Drosophila melanogaster: one gene and its partner. The main gene of each other region encodes a partner of the protein of the gene in region 2 in a complex. Each region holds a gene or a part of one and is shown on either strand. Other genes may lie near its edges. A codon is read from its position in the direction of its gene.

Region 1 (4,810 bases), 8.6 Mb from region 2:
AGAAGCTGGCCGTCTACGACTCGCTCGACAGCGACGTGGTCAAGAGCTATCTGGAGTTCTCGCTGGCCTCGCTCATCTTCTACACCATGAAGGAGGGCGCCTGCTCGGAGCAGTCCTCCCGTATGACTGCCATGGACAACGCTTCCAAGAACGCCGGTGAGATGATCGACAAGCTGACCCTCACCTTCAACCGTACCCGACAGGCGGTCATCACTCGCGAGCTGATTGAAATCATCTCCGGTGCCGCCGCCCTCACATAAGCGAATGGAATGTGTTCGAACAGCTCTAACGATTCATACAGCTAATTGCATATGGTGCCAGGCACCTGGAGCTACGCCTGGAGCCCTAGTAATGTTACTCTTTCAGAAAAACCCCAGAATAAATAGCGTGGAACGAACGAAAATAACTTTAACCATGGAGTCCTTACCTAATTGGAGTGGGAGGCAAGGAATTTGAAAGCACTTGCACAGGTCTGTTTGGTTTTTACACATTGATATCATGGGATTCGATTGCATTCTTATGCAAAGACCCATTGATATAACTTAATGTGCATAAAGTCTCAAATTTCAAGTGGCAATGACTAATGACCAAAAAACTATTGGAACGTTTATGTATATTTTGATACTCTTTAAACTTTCAGAAATTGGTGGTATCTACACTTTGTGCTTATCTATGGAATTAAGGCGTGGGATTTCAATGGGATGCTTCTTCGTTGCCTAGCACATATTCTGCAGCACATTCAGTATGTAGGCTCCAATGTCCTCGTCCTGGTTGGTCCACGATATCAAAATGTTCTTCTGCTTGGGATCCTTCTCGTCCTCCTCCACCTTCACCTCAACGGATTCGATGGCTATGGAGCCGTTCTCCTGCATCGTCACCGTCCAGCCGGCTAGCTTTTCTTCGAGCAGAGTCTTCAGTCTTTCGCTTGTGCGAATGACCGGTCCGGAGTCGTCCATTTTGACCTTGGATGTAAATCGCATAACATGTCGATTAATTCCGATTTCCTTCAGGGCATCGGTTAGGTTTTGCAGCATTATTCGATTGTCCTTCATTACGAGGACGCCATGGATTAGTCGCCGCCTCTTGGGATCCGGTGGCTGGGCGTTGTAGGACCGGGCCTCTGCTTTAAGCAGGGAAACGGACGCATCTACTGGTATCTTCACAGGCGTAGAAATCACACAGGTTTCGCCGTTGGCCGGCATGTAGGTTTCCAGGTTGAATTCGTCTTTGATCTTCGAGCGCAGGAACTTCATCTTCCCTGCTTCACCATGGACGAGCATGACGTTCTTTGGCTCACAGTTCTGAATTAGCTGCATAATGCCTGCAATACAGAAAATTAATTAGTATCAGCATAAAAGTGCTAAGCTTGTAGCCACCTTTGGCATCTGCATGGGCCGAGAAGCTCATGTACTCCACGGCCATTTTGACCTCGACCACCTGGCGGTTCTCGAACTCCACCTTCTTGGCGCCACCGAGAATCTTGTTGCCCACGGTTCCCTGCACACAGTAGCCGGGCATAATCACCATGTTGTTCTCATTCGGCGCCCACTTCTTGAAGATCTGCAGGGAAAGACCTGCGTGCAGCATGCCTGGCGTGGCGAACACTACCATCGCGCCAGGATTGTCGATGTAGGCCTTGTCAAAGGGCTTGATGTGCTTGAAGTCGAACATGTTGCGGTGAACGAAGGTCTTGCGGATCTTCTGGTTCGTCCAGGTGATGAACATTTTGTAGTAGGTATTGGCCTTCTCGGTAAGACCCAGAGCAAAGTATATGGGGTACTTGAGGTTCATGCGCTCCCAGTACGTCTCCAGCAGGATGCACAGCTCCTGGGCGCGACCCAGGGCAAAAACAGGGATTAAAACCTTGCCGCCCTTAGCCACGCACTCGTGAACTTTCTTGAGGAAGTCCCTCTCGCGACACCGCTTCGAGTCCCTAATGGTAGTGGCGTAGGTGCTCTCGGAGATCAGCAAGTCCGGCCGGCACTTGTCTATCCAGGCGGCTCCCAGATGCCTGTCTGGAGTCATGTTGTAGTCCCCCGTGTAGACAACGCTCTGGGAGCCCACCTTGATCCAGAACATGGCGGCGCCCAGGACATGGCCTGCATAGTAGGCTTTGATCTCAAGGTCCGTGTCCACCATCATACTCTGGTGAAGTGTGACGGGAATCACCTTCTTCATGCAGTCCTTGATCATCTGGGTGGTAAAGAAGTTCGACTCGCCTTTCCGCTCTACGGCCACCTTCCGCATGTCCTCCAGGAGGATGGGTGCTATGGCCTTGGTCGGATGCGTCATGTAGATGGGCCCCGTGTAGCCCACAATCTCTGACATGTAGGGCAAGGCCCCGCAGTGATCTGGAATGCATGCAATCGATAAAGAAACGATTAGAGCCAGTTGACCAGATAAGAGCGCCTTTGGGAGGCCGAGACTCACCCAGGTGGAAGTGCGAGATGATCACACAGTCAATGTGGCTGGTGATCGGACCCTCCGGCACTATGTAGGAGAAGTCCGGGAAGCGGCGCTCGTCGTTGTAGCCCATATGCATCCCGCAGTCGAGCATTATGTTCTTCCCGCCCATCGAGAGCAGCAGACAGCTGCGGCCCACATCCTGGCCGGCGCCCAAGGGCGTTATCTTGATGTCCGGCATTTCTGGAAGGGATCAGGATCACCCGGCTCCACTCTCCTGCTTTCTTGCGGCCACTTGTTGCGCTGGTAAATGAAATTGTCGAAAAAGTCGACCGTGATTTTTGTAAACAGCAAGGCCGCACGAATGGCGTTGCCACTCCGTCGGTGTGGATGGTCCGGCAACGACGCGCTCCAACTGGCAGATCTTATTGGAGTGTTCCAAGAAGTTTCAAAGAATTTAATAGCTTAATTGAAATTAATGTTTCTGTCTGTATATGTATAGAATACATTAATTATATGTGAATAATACAACTTTAGTACAATAAGTCTTTTGTTCAAACAATATTCAACATCTGCATTTGGGAACACTCGCGCCAATGGTTTGCCGCTCGAGAAACGGTCATACTGAACCGAAAGGAAAATAAAAGATAGCGTCTTGTCTTATCAAATCACTGTTTTGCTTTCTGCGGGCGAACTTGCAACTGCTGCAGGATGCCCGATTCCGTGGAGGACACCTCCACAATCTCGCTGCGGATATGCCTGGAAGGACACGCGAACGCCCTGGCCCTGAATAAGGACAACAACCAGATTGCTTTGGCCGGAAGAAGCTGTAAGATTAGAATTGCCCAAGGTCTTTCTATAAATACACATAATTTGCTTCCGAACAGTGCTTAAGGTGTACTCCATAAACAGCAATGGCTTCACGGAATCGTGTAATATGCGCGGAAAGAACCAGAATCTTAGCTACTCCGCCAACGATGTGGCCTGGTCCACCTTGGATAGCAATCTTTTGGCTACGGCGGCCACGAACGGAGTGGTTTCCGTGTGGGATCTCTCCAAGTTCGGCAGGCAGAAGCAGCTGCTTGTCTACAACGAACATGAGCGCACCGCTCATACCGTGACCTTTCACAGCAGCGAGCCCAACATCCTGATCTCCGGTTCTCAGGATGGCACCATCAAGTGTTTCGACATCCGATCGGATAAGTCAATCAACACCTACTTCTGCAACTCGGAATCAGTGCGGGATGTCAAGTTCAGTCCACACACACAAAACATATTCTCCGCCGTCTCCGAGAATGGAACTGTCCAGTTGTGGGACATGCGGAAGTGGGACAAGTGCATGGTGCAGTTTACGGCGCACTACGGGCCAGTCTACACATGCGACTGGCATCCCACAAGGAATTGGCTGGCCACCGGAAGTCGGGACAAGCAGATCAAGGTGTGGAACATGGATGGCAGGCCGGGATTGGAGCACACCATTCACACAATCGCCGTAGTGGGACGGGTTAAGTGGCGACCAGAAAGAACGTAGGTTTTTCTAGCCAGGTTTAACAGTCTTATTTATATTAAATCTGTTTAATCCTTTCCAGTTATCACATCGCTAGTTGTGCCCTTGTGGTGGACTACAGCGTTCATGTGTGGGACATCCGCAGACCCTACATCCCCTTTGCCTCCTTCAACGAGCACACCAATGTGACTACTGGAATTGCGTGGCAGGGCAGCGACTCGCACTGTCTTCTGTCCATCAGCAAGGACTCCACCATTTACAAACATGCTTTTAAGGATGCCACGAGGCCAGCGCTGAAGGCAAATGCCCAGGGAGCTAGCCTGGGCAGATTTGGGGACATCTCCTTTGCCAACAAGATCAAGGAGTATGAACCCAAGACCAGCGGTGCATCCAATACCAAGTCTTCTAGCTTCATGTATGTCGTATTTGTTGTATCAACTTGTATGTTTATATGTATGTGTATTTTAGAAGTCGCCGTAAGACGAATGTGGCTGGCAGCATTCAGTTCCATTTGGACCATTCCAAAATGTACAAATTCATGGTAAACGACACGGTTAGTATGACACTATTAGGGATTTCTTTGCCAAATCTGATACTAATTGATATATTTCAGTTTTCCGGCTATCCCCTAAGCGAATCTGTTTCAAGACCCACCCAAGAACACGAAAGTTTTATTGGCTGTGCCAGGGAACTTGTTATCAGTGGGAAAAAACTATCGGAGTTATGCGAGCACAATGCAGAGGTTTCCAAGAAATACGGCAAACATAATGTAAGCGCTTGAGATTATTCCCAAAATTTGCCAAAACTTAGCATCTACATTTTTCAGGCCACCACATTGTGGAACTTTATCAAATTGTTCTACGGCAGCAATCACTTTGAGCCTCCCTTCGAGCACCGCTC
Region 2 (6,007 bases):
ATTTTCGTTTCGGCCGCGACAGCGAATATGCAATTTTCCTCTCAATTGATTTTTTCTACACACTCGCACTCCTTTTCACATGCGTGCAGTTTATGTTGCTATTGCTGCTACTGCTGCTGTTGTTGTTATTGTTGTTCTGGCTGCCGCTGCAGTGCAACTTGTAACACTTTCACATTTATGACATAATGCACTGGCCATATTTTTGCTTGGCTCTCCGTTTGTGCAACTGCATGTTCCCAGTGCTTTTTTAATATTTATGCAGCAGTGCGTGCAAATTCGAACGCGAGACGATCCGCTTTTCGCTGCATCTATGCGCTGAAGATGTGCTGCAGTCGATGGGCTCGTCGATAGTGGGAAGGCTCGGTGCCGGCACTATCGATTCCCAACACCATACGATAATATCGGCTAAGTTATCAATATCGAAGTTTACTATATTTCGGGTTTTTGCGTTTTAAAAATTGGCAAATCTACCTTATACAACATTTTTGTAAGAAGTAAAAAGTAGTTTCTCTTATGGATGCATCGATAAAAACTCGGCTCACATCGCTCTAAAAGTGTGTCACCACCAACAGAAAACCAAAACAAACACGACGCGAACAGTGTGACCAGCACACCAAAAATTAAAAAAAGGAACAAAAACGTTTAAATATGGGTCGTCTTGATTTGAAATATGTTTAGTCATTTAAAACATTGTTTTGTTACTGTATTGTTATTTATTTTATCTGCGCCGGCGAAATAAAATCTCATTTTATGTTCAAAACGTAGTTATCAAAAATATTATCTATTTCACGGAAAAAACTTTTAGCTTACTTCACAGAGAGGTTTTTTTTGACTGGAAAACGGCTTAGCTCGGAATTAGTAACAGTCCGAAATCATGTTCTCATCGTCGCGCTTCAGCGCACCGAGGATGTCATCCAGCAGGGAGGTAAAGTTCTCCTTGCACTCGAACCACTCCTGGTGCTGCTTAACCAACTGGTCCAGGTCAATGGTCTTGAGCTCCTCAAAGAACTGCCGCAATGGCACCGCGAACTGCTTATAGTAGAACTCATCGATGTGCCGCTTCTCCGCTGTTTTCCCTTGCGCGTTTATCTGCATCTGGGTCTCAAACGCCTTCTCCAGGAGCTGTGCATCCTGCGAGTTCAATATGGACTCGATGACTTCGTCCGCCTCGGTGGGATTGACCGGTGGCTGCTGTGGAATCGGAGTTGGCTGCGGCTGGGACGGGAAGTCGAATCTTGGCCGCTCTCTGTCTGAGAGCGGCGATCTCATTTCAATCTCCTCCATTATGCCCTTGTAGCGCTCGAACTTCTCCGTCATGGTCTTGACGCCTTTAATGAGGAATTCCAAAACCTCCATTGAAGTCTCCTCGCGCAGGCACTTGAGTAGGATGCCAAAATATCCGTACTGCTGTACTTCACCAAAAACTTTGGCAATGCTGGTTTGGATCTCTTTCTCCGTCAGCGTGACAATCTTCTTCTGCTCCTTAGAGAAGGTCACTGTGGGAAAAGAGCCATCTATCATGCCCTGATTGCTAAACTGGCGGTAGAACTCGCGGCGCCAAAAATTTAAAGCATTCAGCTTCACCTCCGTGTGATGATCCCCGATTACACAATAGTTGAGGGTTGAGAAGAGGGTGTTCTTGTACTTCTCGTGGATCTTGCGGTGCTCGTAGATCTTCATCAGCGTAATCACGGCCTCGGATCTCACGATATCGTTGGTCTCCCGATACATTACAAACAAAAGATGGTCCTGTCGAGAATTCAAAGTGTTTAATTAATAATTTTTTCCGAGTATATGTGTAAATAGATTAACTCACTACAAGATCGAGCTGGCTTAGACCATTCTCCCACAAAAGGTTTATGGAGACCATTTGGGAAAGACACTGGAAGGCAGACGCTCTTACATAGACTTCCGAGTCATTCTTGGCCATTTCGTAAACTATCGGGGGTATCTTTGAGTCGATTAGAAAGCGTTGGAAGGCGGGAAACTCTGTAGAAGCAACGTATCATTAATGTTAGGCACTACGTTAAGATAATCACACGCTTACTGATGCGGGAGATACTGGCTATAGAGGTGGTAAGCTCCAGCGTTGTGTCACGCACCTCCCACATTGTGTCGTGCATTCGCTTCACAATAATGGGACCCAGACAGACCAGCGCGGAGCCCTGCAAGTTGTCCACCAAAAGAGCCATGTTCGGTGAAAGGAAATGCTCCACAGCGAGTTGGACGAGCTTCAGCGCTTGGACAGTGCACTGCAAATGAAGAATCACATTTTACTATTTTAACCCGCTAGAAATGAGAGTTTGTTTTGCTTACCCTAGCATCCATGCTTGTGTTCTCCAGGACAAATGCCAGACAATTGACCAGGCCAATGGTCTCCACCGACTCCTTCCACGTGATCTTAAAGCGTTCGATCAAGGTGCGCAAACCCACCATTACGGAATGCAAAACTTGTGGATCGTTAACGACCTGTTCGGTGCCCCGGGGGTACAATTTTAGGTAGGAGCTGCCCGCGCTGCTCACGCTGTGACAGTCATCCTCCCCATTATTTGTGATGACACTCATGGCCACTGCCTCGCGGAGCACATATAGCAAAGCTTGGCACACAGTAACCGCCTGCTCTCGATCGAGAACGTTTTCCAGGGCCAACAGGCTATGTATGCACTTGTTTGCCAGGCCGGCCGTCACCAAGCCAACAGCCATGCCGTCTGCAGAAAAGAAGTTGTCCCGCATTGTGTAGCAGAGCCGCAAGGTCTGTTCGCAGGAGATCTCCAGCAACTTGACAACATAGGCGTCGAAGAGCTCTATCTTGCTCTCCTCGTCGGCGATCTTCTGTGCGTACTTCATGGAGAAGAGCAACGGCAGCATGTGAAAGCAGATTAGCTGGTTTTCAAACGTAACGCGCTCTTGTTGGATGACAATTTCCTTGGGCGCACGAGGTCCAAGTTTTTTCCAAAGTACATGATTGAGCTCCGCCAACTTCACAAAACTCAAGCCGTCCTTGCGGGTAATAAGGAATTTCATGAGATTAAAGAATGCCAACCCGAACTCGGTGAACTCCTCCGACGGCTCGGTGGCGTTCGGATTCAGCAACTTTTCGTGCAACAGCAGGGCAAAGTTGTAGCTGCTCAGTGTGGTGAAGATCTTCTCAGTAAAGTACGGGTTGTGGGTCATATCGATCAGCTTCCAAACGGTAATCTCGAAGTCGTGATGCTCCTTGAGCAGGATGATCAGAGTGGTGCGCTCCTCGAGCACCAGCGTCTGCTGTAGTATGTAGGACAGTAGATCCAGTGTCGACGAGATCTTGTGCAACATCTCGTTGTCGTCCACCTTGACGTGGATGCGCTCCACGCCGTCGGTGTTCTTATAAAGATTGTCGTGAATCGGCTGCATAATCTCCGACAGAATCTCCAGGGTAACAGCCTTATCGTGCAGCTTGTCGCAGGACTTGTACACCATGTTGTAAAGCACTTGGCGGGCCTCCCGCACCACGTACAGCGTGTGATCGTTGTTGGAATACTGGATGAGCAGCGTCCAGATCCGGTGCATCCGCAGAAAGGCCAGCCCCATGCTATACACGGTGATGGCTTTCATCAGACGTATGCCACCTAACTTAATCGATGGGCTTAAGTTGTGTTCCCTCTGTAGTAGTTTCACTGCTCTAAAATGGTAGTCGATTATTTTAAGAGATTAGAGCCTGGTTTTCTATCCTACCATTTACCTGTTTACTATATCAAGCTCTCTTAGGCGCACGATCATCCACTCGTTGTTCGCCAGAAAACTGGTCAGATTCAGCATGAAGGATATCACCTTCGGGTGGATCTTTTTGAAGTCCTCGGTCACCGCCGTGATGCACCTGTCCACCCATTCCACCACGAATGGGGCCTGCAGCACAAAGGCATTCTCTGCGGACAGATGGGATTCATTTGAGGATTTAAGGGCAGATTGCGGGGCCACTCCGATTGGTAAACTCACCCTTGGCCTGCAAGTGCGTGAGGAGCTTCTCAAAGTAAACATTGTTCGTAGTGGAAAAGTTCTCGCGTAAAAATATGTCGAATATCGTTCGCAGGCGCGACAGCGTCTCTTCTTGCTTTTGCATCTTGCTGTTTCCACACTGACTGCTTAAATGGCGACTGCCCCTTATGGCATAGTTTTGGAGCTTGCAATTGATCCACCGAATAATGAAATCGTTGATTGCGGGTTCTGGTTCTTATCACACCGAAAGACACTTGTTTTGTATTGAGTGGCCGTGTACGTTTGCAGTCGAAATCCAAAGCGCATTCGCCAGGGTTGCCAGGTGAGCGGTCAAAGTCACGCATCGAAACATATAACGGTGCATAGTTTCCCTTTTATTCTTTGCTAATAAGTAATACCATTACTACCATTAATTAAAATTACCTAATTATACTACTTAATATTGCAGAAAGAAGAACTCTGTACAAAACATTTTCGTTATGTTTATACCTCAAAGATTACGGTCTTTATTAAATATTTTTTAATTACATACCTTTTTTCCATATTTCTAAAAGCTTTTGCATAGAAAAATGTCTTGAATTACGAGTTTTCATTTTTAATCATTTATATCTCTTGATCGACTCGTCGGAACTATACTAGGTTCACTCTTCTCCACAAGTAATGGGTATCAATATGGTTCGGTTTCGCACCAGTCACTTGATCACGATACGCTCTCATCACTACCAAGAAGTGTCGTGCGGTGAAAGCCGTAAATAGTTGCCATGGTCACACTGTTTTTGATGCAAAATAATATAATGACGCTGACATAGAATCGGCTCTAGGGAACGTATGATGGATAACAATGTAGAGCAATTAGCAGGAAAGAGCCAAACTGAAACAGCCGAGTCCACAGCAGCAGCAACAGGAACAGCAGGAGCAGGTGTAGCAGTAGTAACCGTGGCAAGTGGAGCCGGACCAACGCCCGGCGCAAACTCCTCGACCTTTTGGAAAAACAGCGGACGTCGAGTGCCCGGACGACCCAGTCCCAAGCGGGAGCTCGAGAAGGCGGCGGCAGTTGGGGTAGCGGTCGGTCGCGGCGCTGCCCCCGGATCTGGCATGGTGTCCACCTTCACCGAGTACCAGAAGTCGGTGAGCGATGCCTGGGACATGGGTGACGACGAGTTCTGCATCATCAGCAGCACGGAGGCGGCTGCCGCGGCCGTTGGAGCTGGCGGTGGGTTCCGCAACCCCGATGGTTTTCCTCAACCTCTGATCTCGTTTTGATCCCCCAACAGATGCGGCTCATTTCTCCCGGCAAGTGTCGCAGACGGTGGCTCTCAACGTGATCGAGACGCACTCTCGAAGCAACCAGAACCATAATGCATCCCGGTCAGCAAACGAAAGTGGCGCAGATTTGGTCCCAGTCAGCAGTAGCTCGACGGACGACTGCAAGGAAGACCGTAGATCTCTGCCGGACAGTAATGAAAACAGGTGAGCGGCGCCAACTCAACTGGGAAGTCAAAAAGAAAGTTGAACCCAATGCCTGCAGTTGTGCAAATAAGTCAGGGGTGTAGAGCGGATCGAACCCGCTTTCTGAATTATTTCCTAGGTGCTATTTAAAAAGCATTAACGTGTTTATTATCAAAGTAGAAACTAAAGATATGAAGAATTCCGTCATATGGGAGTTGAAATACTTACAATAGATTCAAATTTTGAAACGGTACTTTACAATATACAATATACAATATTACTATGTAATTAGGTTAAAATTACCTATATATGTTGTTAATCATTGGGGCGCTCCTAACTTATTATTGCCATTCGCCACGTTTTAACGAGTATTAACACCAACTTGGCAACCGCTCCTGAAGCATTTCACTTTCTTAACTGATAGCCACTCCCAGCTATTCCCACAGAGCAATGTCGGGAGACGCGGAACTAAGACCGAAAGTAATCAAGACTTCAACGGTTAGTAATATATATTGCCATTTCAGATCTAGATTGAGGAACTACCCGGGCAGACCGCAATTGCAGAAGATCAGCTCGAATTGCC

Evidence for each region.
Region 1: the proteins of CG7044 (region 2) and IntS11 are in contact, whole or in part, in a cryo-EM structure (PDB 8UIC), measured with the Drosophila melanogaster proteins. Residues at the interface, in NP_650940.2 of Drosophila melanogaster: Thr26 (codon at 4,024), Asn27 (codon at 4,021), Asn28 (codon at 4,018), Val29 (codon at 4,015), Tyr30 (codon at 4,012), Glu32 (codon at 4,006), Lys33 (codon at 4,003), Thr36 (codon at 3,994), Pro116 (codon at 3,624), His156 (codon at 3,504), Thr157 (codon at 3,501), Leu158 (codon at 3,498), Tyr159 (codon at 3,495), Arg162 (codon at 3,486), His438 (codon at 2,658), Leu441 (codon at 2,649), Glu444 (codon at 2,640), Asn445 (codon at 2,637), Gln506 (codon at 2,454), His509 (codon at 2,445), Val513 (codon at 2,433), Arg551 (codon at 2,319), Val554 (codon at 2,246), Lys558 (codon at 2,234), Trp600 (codon at 2,108), Glu601 (codon at 2,105), Asp604 (codon at 2,096), Thr605 (codon at 2,093), Tyr648 (codon at 1,906), Ser652 (codon at 1,894); in NP_651721.1 of Drosophila melanogaster: Leu9 (codon at 2,620), Gln13 (codon at 2,608), Val15 (codon at 2,602), Gly16 (codon at 2,599), Met35 (codon at 2,542), His36 (codon at 2,539), Met37 (codon at 2,536), Tyr39 (codon at 2,530), Asp41 (codon at 2,524), Arg43 (codon at 2,518), Asp47 (codon at 2,506), Ser49 (codon at 2,500), Tyr50 (codon at 2,497), Pro53 (codon at 2,488), Pro56 (codon at 2,479), Ile57 (codon at 2,476), Ser59 (codon at 2,470), His68 (codon at 2,443), His70 (codon at 2,437), Asp72 (codon at 2,431), His73 (codon at 2,349), Thr87 (codon at 2,307), Gly88 (codon at 2,304), Pro89 (codon at 2,301), Lys97 (codon at 2,277), Pro101 (codon at 2,265), Glu105 (codon at 2,253), Arg108 (codon at 2,244), Lys109 (codon at 2,241), Val112 (codon at 2,232).

Annotation. Positions count from the first base shown.
Region 1 is NT_033777.3:29,743,304-29,748,113, reverse strand, and holds IntS11 (integrator 11), read right to left. Parts: upstream 2,778-4,810; 5' UTR 2,645-2,777; coding exon 2,431-2,644; exon of another isoform or gene 2,352-2,430; coding exon 1,377-2,351; intron 1,322-1,376; coding exon 717-1,321; 3' UTR 601-716; downstream 1-600. Other genes in the region: ATPsyngamma (ATP synthase, gamma subunit), read left to right, coding at 1-260; Wdr24 (WD repeat domain 24), read left to right, coding at 3,115-3,232, 3,291-3,930, 3,993-4,325, 4,379-4,463, 4,524-4,679, 4,737-4,810. UniProt on the Drosophila melanogaster protein: RNA endonuclease component of the integrator complex, a multiprotein complex that terminates RNA polymerase II (Pol II) transcription in the promoter-proximal region of genes.
Region 2 is NT_033777.3:21,097,474-21,103,480, forward strand, and holds CG7044 (uncharacterized protein), read right to left. Parts: upstream 4,246-6,007; 5' UTR 4,100-4,245; coding exon 3,976-4,099; intron 3,906-3,975; coding exon 3,722-3,905; intron 3,662-3,721; coding exon 2,317-3,661; intron 2,253-2,316; coding exon 2,048-2,252; intron 1,990-2,047; coding exon 1,817-1,989; intron 1,750-1,816; coding exon 856-1,749; 3' UTR 756-855; downstream 1-755. Other genes in the region: Tbc1d22 (TBC1 domain family member 22), read left to right, coding at 4,804-5,188, 5,250-5,445, 5,949-6,007.